Neurospora crassa OR74A: one gene and its partner. The main gene of each other region encodes a partner of the protein of the gene in region 2 in a complex. Links are inferred from orthologs where the notes say so. Each region holds a gene or a part of one and is shown on either strand. Other genes may lie near its edges. The genes, in order: NCU06646 and NCU01580.

The links.
Region 1: NCU01580 (region 2) and NCU06646 share a complex: the UniProt entries of both Saccharomyces cerevisiae proteins name them as parts of the 7-subunit TFIIH core complex. The link is inferred for Neurospora crassa OR74A from reciprocal best matches to the Saccharomyces cerevisiae genes TFB4 and TFB5.

Annotation. Positions count from the first base shown.
Region 1 is NC_026505.1:4,109,541-4,112,643, reverse strand, and holds NCU06646 (RNA polymerase II transcription factor B subunit 5), read right to left. Parts: upstream 1,874-3,103; 5' UTR 1,649-1,873; coding exon 1,630-1,648; intron 1,489-1,629; coding exon 1,340-1,488; exon of another isoform or gene 1,221-1,339; coding exon 1,170-1,220; 3' UTR 1,036-1,169; coding exon of another isoform or gene 926-1,035; 3' UTR 845-925; downstream 1-844. Other genes in the region: NCU06647 (enoyl-CoA hydratase/isomerase), read left to right, coding at 1-347, 461-844, 926-1,035. UniProt on the Saccharomyces cerevisiae protein: Component of the general transcription and DNA repair factor IIH (TFIIH) core complex, which is involved in general and transcription-coupled nucleotide excision repair (NER) of damaged DNA and, when complexed to TFIIK, in RNA transcription by RNA polymerase II.
Region 2 is NC_026502.1:3,029,722-3,033,987, forward strand, and holds NCU01580 (transcription factor TFIIH subunit Tfb4), read right to left. Parts: upstream 2,773-4,266; 5' UTR 2,454-2,772; coding exon 1,134-2,453; 3' UTR 772-1,133; downstream 1-771. Other genes in the region: NCU01581 (hypothetical protein), read left to right, coding at 1-771. UniProt on the Saccharomyces cerevisiae protein: Component of the general transcription and DNA repair factor IIH (TFIIH) core complex, which is involved in general and transcription-coupled nucleotide excision repair (NER) of damaged DNA and, when complexed to TFIIK, in RNA transcription by RNA polymerase II.

The DNA of each region.
Region 1 (3,103 bases), on a different chromosome or scaffold from region 2:
AGGATATACATCCTACAAACACTTCAATGTGACCTCCGCGGGGCCTGCCTTCGTCGTGCACGTGGAGATCAACCGTCCTGCCAAACTCAACGCCTTTTTCGAGGCCATGTGGCTGGAGTTGGGCCAGATCTTCCGGCAGCTGTCGTCGGACCCGGACGTGCGGGCCGTGGTGCTCTCGGGCGCCGGTGACCGGGGTTTCACGGCGGGTTTGGACATCCACGCGGCCAGCTCGAACAACCAGCTGCAGTCGAGCGGCGCCCTCGACGTCGGGCGCAAGGCGGCCCAGTTGAGAAGATACATTACTGAATTTCAGGATAGCATTTCGGCTATTGAATTGTGCGAGAAACGTATGTATTGACTGTGCCGACTTGTCACTCTTCGTTACCCAGGGTGATATATATACGTCAAGCCAATGAACCAGTGCATGCGAATCTTGCTAACCTACAGAAACTCCCTGAAGCCGTCATCGTCGTCCTCCACGCCATCTCCCTCGGCCTCGCCATCGACATCGCCTGCGCCGCCGACATTCGGCTCTGCACGCGTGACGTTCGGCTGGCCGTCAAGGAGGTCGACATCGGCCTGGCCGCCGACATTGGCACGCTGAGCCGGCTGCCCAAGGCCGTCGGCAACTTCTCGTGGGTGAAGGAGGTATGCATGTCGGCAAGAGAGTTTGGCGCGACCGAGGCGCAACAGGTCGGCTTCGTCAGCCAAGTTCTCGACAGCAAGGTGGCTGCCCTGGATCAGGCGATCAAGCTGGCGGGCTTGATTGCTGGGAAGAGCCCGATTGCTGTACAGGGAACTAAGGAGTTGTTGAACCACGCAAGGGACCATTCGGTTTCTGAAAGTACGTTTCCTTTCTTGGTTTCTCTTCCTCCTCGTTGCTCGTTATCGTGAAGGAAAGGCTAAACTGATAATTTTGACACAGGCTTACGGTATACCACCGTCTGGAACTCGGCTGCTTTGCAATCAAGAGATATGATGGACGCGTTATCGGCTAGTGTGCAGAAGAAGAAGCCCGTCTTTTCAAAGCTTTAAAGAGGATCAAGTAGTCCATCGCAGGCTGGTAACTGCTACGCAGTGTTGAAGGTGTATAAATAAATGCATGTAATTCGGGGGGGTTCAGCGACTTGAAGTCACTACGTATGCGTCTCCTATTTACTAGGCAACTCCTAGTCACTATCTGCCAGCGGTTCCTCGGGCCTGTATGTTTCCTTCAGGCGCTGTTGTAGGTAGGAAAGTGTCAGCCAGAGGAAGGTGATATAATCGGACATGATATCTAGTTCACGATGCGGGCCAAACGGTCACACTGGACAAAGCAAAGGGGAAGCATATGACTTACGTCCTCGAGTTTCTGTTTGAGCAGTTGCACCATGTTTTCCTTAACAACCAGGGTCTGCTCATCAAGATCTTCGATGATGATATCGTTGTTAACACTATCCAAGTGAACGATGATGGACTTGATGGCTGGTTCGCACTGGATGAGTACACCTGAGCCAGGGACCAGTGTTAGCAGGGTGAGTATTTGTTTTGCGTTAGAGTCGTGCTGTGCTGTTGCTTATGAATGAGTCTTGACTAGACAAGCCCATGTACACGTCATTTATATGGTATTTCATGGGAATCCATACTGACCTCTGATTGCTCTCGGCATCTTGAATAGCTGTAGTTTCTGGCGGGATGGCAAAATGTCCTGTGATTTTTTTATGTCGCCGTAGCCCTCATCAAGTTGGCCTTTTGGGTATATGCTCTGAGAACAATGTCGTATGCGACGTGGTTTGGAATGTATCGGGCTGTGCTGGTTGTTGGTCGGGATATGGTTGGATCGTTAGATGGTTGGCGTGGAAGAAATGGGTTTGTGTTGCTGTATGGTAACTCAAATACAGCGTTTGAGCGTACAATTTGTTGGCAGCGCCTTCTCTGTAACGACGCGAGCAACCTGGCATGAAGTGACAGAGAAGCAGCGGCAGACACGGGTACCTACGTACGCTTGCAGAATACGGAACATTACGTAGGTACATACGTTCGGGTTCAGGTCAGAAAACTTGCCTTGCGATTACATACCCGCAATTATACTTACTGAACCTTGAATCCAGGTGCTGTCCCTCCAGATCAGATGAATAGATGATGAGGGCATCATGACCTTCACTTCAACCTCAATTGCAAGAACAGTGTGTATAGATGATTCTCACATTCCCTTACCAACAAGCTTCAACAAATAATTCGTCCATGAGTGGCCGGCTGGTCTGGATGATCACATTGGATCTTACTTAATGGAAACCCCGAATGTGATCAAAGCAGTCACAGGCAAGGGGGGACAATGGCGTCTCCAAAAAAACGAATCCTGTAACCACTTTCCCACTCTGTGTGGCCGTTTCGGGCCCTGGACGCTGCCAGGGATCGCTGGGCGGGAAGGCTTAACCGCTTGCAGTAAACCACCCCACCTTTTCGCTTGAGAGTGCCAGCGTGGGAGCGGAGATCGAATCTCAAAACTCGTGCCAATCGCAAGCTCAGATTAGTGATAGTATGGCTCGGATATTGGGTGCGGGTACTGAGTGGTGCCTAGACTGAGAGTTGGGAGTATTTCACGAGGATCCAGGGCAGGGAGCTGCGATGGAGACCAAGAAATATCTTTTCTGTCCAGGGAGTCCCAAAACCCTCTTGTTTGCTCCTGGATTGCCTTGCGGCGCAGGGACCGAGGTAGTATGTCGTTGGCTGACAATGATGAAATAGGTGCAGCAAACCAACGTACCCTACCCGTTCAAAACATGCCATGTCCAGTCTTTTATCCGTCTTGAGAATGAAAAAGAAAAAAGGAAAGGAAAGTAAGAAAAAGAAAAGAAAAACAAACGTCGATATGACGAGGGCGGATAGAGGTGACTAGGTACGACTTGCCGATGGCGGTTTCAGATTCTGTGCATCGGGAGCTCGATAACCGGTAGCGCCTTGTTACACCAAACTGAAATGTGACAAAAGTGAAAGACCCGATGAACTGTCGAAGATGTGATCGCAAACGAAGCCCGCATTCTTGAACATGGCGGTGCTTCCTTCCGTTCTGAAGACGACCTTCTGGAAGCGCGAGAAGAAGACCAGGGCCAAGACATGCCTC
Region 2 (4,266 bases):
ATTGAGAGTGCGAGGAGTAAGTCCGGAGTTAACGTACCGGAAAGTCAATTGGATGAGGATGAAAATGAGGAGAATGAGGAAGAAGAGAGTGGTGCCAAGATCGGCAGGATAGGAGGAGGAGGAGGAGGAAGAGGACGCGGAACAGGATCAGCGAAAGCAAGGACAAACACAAGAACCGCCCGTGTCTCCAGACCAGGAAAACGAAAGGCTGCAAAGGACGTACCATCATCAGACGATGATGGAGACGACGACAACGACCACGCAAAATTCGAAAAGATGGATGTCGACGAGCCGGAACCTGAGCCAGAATCAGAGCCGGAACCATCATCAAAGACGACCACCATGGGACAATCATCTTCTAGCAAAACCCTCGATCACGAGGACGTCACTGATAACGACGAGGACGAAGATGAGGTCCTCAATAAGACATCTGACCGCAACACCCCAGACCGCGACGACGATGACGAAACAGCCAGTGAGCCCGATGAGGAGGATGATGGGACTGTAGAAGCAGGGGACAAGGATCTTGATGTGCCGCCGCCTCCTTCACCGCCGCCTGCTAGACGACAACGCACGGCTGCGGCATCCTCGACAGCGACGACAACCCCTCAGAAAAAGACGACGGCTTCTGTTGTAGGAAAGGGAAAGGGAAAGGAGACGCTAACGCCCATTTCCCATACTAAGAGGGCCGGGGCGACGGCTACGAGAGCGTCTCAGCCTGCTGCTGTAGTAGATGAGGGGAGTGAGACTGAGTCTGATGATGAGTTATGAATGGACGGTGGACGTTGAACGCGAGTCGGGGGAGCATGATGTAACGATGGATAATGACTAGACATGTCCCCAATAACAGGTATCGATGGCTGAATCCTATAGTGGGAATCCATGTCCAGTAAAGTGATATTCGCAATAAAAGCTGTTTTATGGGTATTAGCACTGCATGTCAGACTCTATGTGTATATGTAGTTTTCCAAGCCTTTTGTCCGCTTTCGGTAGACATCCCACGAGCAATCTTGTGGGCTTTACCACTCCCTAGTCTCTAATCAGCCTCTTGACTGCCTGGTTCCCCGGCCCAGGACAAAAGAATCATCCACCATCAGTTACCTCTTCACTCTATTCCATACCTCGCTGAAGACTTATTTCAGCATCGTCCCTTTCCCATTCGCCTGCCCCCCTCCAGGAGGAGCAGCAGCCTTTGAAGGCAGCACAGGTAACTTCCTCCCGTAATTCCCCAACGCTAACTTGGTGCCGCATGTCAAACACTCCCCACCCTCGGGCACCTCGCAAAAAATGCTCAAGCAGATACTGCACACAAACCCCGTATCAATCACGTTCCGATGACAGAAACACGCCGCCCGGAAATCCACCGAGTCCGCACTAGGGGTGACCAACAGATCCGCCACGCTAGCATTACTCCCCAGAAACTTCTGGCCTCCATGCTTGGCCCCTCCCTTGGCCGCGGCGCCAAGGGCCTTCTCGCTCGCCTTGTCCTCTTTCCCCTTATGTCCCCCATGCTGCTGCTGAGACCGCTGGTTCCCTGCCGCCGCCAACCCCTGTGGCGCGCTCCCGCTTCCAAACCCAAACATCAAGTACTGCAATAGTCCCCTCGGCTCCTGCGCCCGTATAAACGTGCCGCGCGTAATATAGCTCGCCTGCTGCAAGAACGTTGCACTACCCCGCAGCGCCAGCGTGTCGATGGCAATGCGCGCGTGCGCCGCCGCGAACACAGCATTCATGGTAGGGATGTACTGCGAGGGGGAGCTGTCGCTTACGCTGACCACCAGGATGCGGGCGTGCAGGCCTGCCAGGCCGCCACCGCCGATGCCAGGGAGGGAGGCTGCGTTGCCGCCGCCTGGGCCGGCGCCGGAGGTTGTGGAGACGGAGGACTTGCCGCCTGCGGAGGAGGGGGTTGGGCCGGTGGCGGAGTTGGAGGGGGCGAAGAGGAGGGCGGTTTTGTTGATGTGCGCGAGGGCGAGGGTCAAGGCGCCGGAAATCTGGGTGGTGGTTGTAGAGGTGATGTCCTCGGTTGTGGTGTCGGTTATGAGAGATCGCAGGGAGGAGAGGAGGGAGCGCTCGATTTGGGCGAAGAGGGGGTATTTGTTTGCGGGCGGTGGAGATTGTTGTTTACTTGTGAAGGAGGCGTCGCGCATTTCGATGTCTTCGTTTGGATTTTGCGGGTGTCGGCCGGGGTTCTGGTCGGGTGCTGTTGGGTAGAGCCATACTGCCCGGTTCGTGTGTGATGCTATGAGAGCTACTTGGTTGGAGTTATTGAAGGCTAAGTGGGAGTTGACAAATATTAGAATGTTGGCGAGCGCTTTCGTGAGTGGGAGGACATCGTTCAGGGCGGCCCAGGCGCGTGGGTTGGTGTCGATGATTATGGTATAAAGGGAGGGGATATCATCGGTGTTGTAGATTTCGTAGTGTTCGGAGGCGTCGACGGCGTCCTGGACCGTCATCTTGACGATGATCTGGCAGGGACAGCCTCAACTCGCTTCAAGGTTGTGTGTGTTGTAGAGCTATATCGTGGATCGAAGCCAGTTGGTGTACATGACGTAGGCCTTTTGTCGCCGCGATACTCAGTGCGCCGGTGCTCGTAGGGAGCTTGTCTGGATGCTGGATCGAGAGATGGCAGGATAGCTAAGCGGGCGCTCTGTTGTGTGATATTCGTTATAGTTGTTGTCTGGATTGGTTATGTCTGCTGAATAGGATTGACGCGCCCAAGAAGACCTTCTCGTCGAGAACACTGCAGATGCGATAACGTAACGGAGAAATGCGATAACGATTTCGGGGTTGCAAGCGAAACGCGATCCAAGTGAAGGCCAAAGGATCCTGGTCCAAGTGCACACGCTACCACGTGATACCCGATAAGGCAGATTGCCGGCATTTTCCTTAGTGGTCAAAAGATATGCAGTTAGAGCACTAACATGCAGTTAAACATACAGATGTAGTCCAGTTCTCGCTTTCCTATTGGTCAAGATATCCTAGCTCCTCTATGTACAATGATATCACCTTCATCCGAACATGTCCTTCATCTCTCATCTTATTCTTCTCTTCCTGCTGTGTCCGATTCTAGTTCAACGACCCCAGCATTACCACCAAAACAGCCGGGTGATGAACACGCAAGCGTGCATAACTTTTGACACCAACAGCGAGGTCATCTTTTTCCTTTGATCCATCCACACCATCACATGTTCCCTTTTCGGTTTATTCACATATCGTACGAGGATCTCCTTTAGAAGGATGGCGCAAGACTGTCAACCGAGAGTGGCTTAAAGTCACCGGCTGTGCAATTCAAGGTGTCCTTGGTCTGTAGTCGGGCTCTTATTGGCTTAGGGGTTACCCCGGTGACGACAGCTTTACGTTGGAAGCCTATGGCCAAGACTATCATCGATAGGTATTGTGAGGTTTTGAGGAAGAGAAGTACAAGTATCTAAGGAAGGGGCAGCCAGGTAGGTAAGGAATAGACAAAACTGAAGCTCAATTTAAGACATTGTTCTTTCCATGCTCTCGCAATATGTAACTGCCTTGATTACTCCCGATTATCTACCTCTAGCACTGTAACCACCACCGAATATTCCCCTATGGTAAGTTGTTCAAGTTCCCGATCTTATAACACCCTTCACTCATACATAGTAGACACAGGAATCTTTCAAGGCCGGCGACATTATAACCCCGGTAGCTCTTCCAGATCAAAGAACAGAAAAGCGAACTTGTCTTCCGAGACAATAATTTACCTTCCAGAACGACGGCAACTTAGTTCTTCATGAATATGCCGAGCCCAGGTGGAACTCATGCGGTCGTCTCTCTATGGACAAAGTGGACGCTGGCTTGTTTCGACCAGTAACGGCAATATGACAAACAGTCTTCCCGGTGGTCATCTCGAGCAAGATGCCGACGCACCGGAGGAAACTATAAATCAATAGTCCAACATGACGGTGCCGCGGTGCCGAAGCTCGATGGAGTCACCCCTGGACCGGCGTTAATGGAGGCTCGGCACAAACATACGAACCCTGTGATGTGAAGTCTCTGAACCCTACTGCTTTTCCTAGAAACAATAGTTCGACAACCGCGCATCCACCTATATCCGCGCGGTCGATCTCAGTTACCGCGCCGACCACGTCCGTGGTGGATCCCCGAGGAATCCTGTCTTTCCCCGGTCAGCGAGTTGCACTCATCTACATCACGGACGACAGCCAGGGGTCGGCGCACCGGGGGGGATATCACGTGGCGGGCCAAGGGTGCGTCAAGTTCGAATTCGGTGTGGATCAC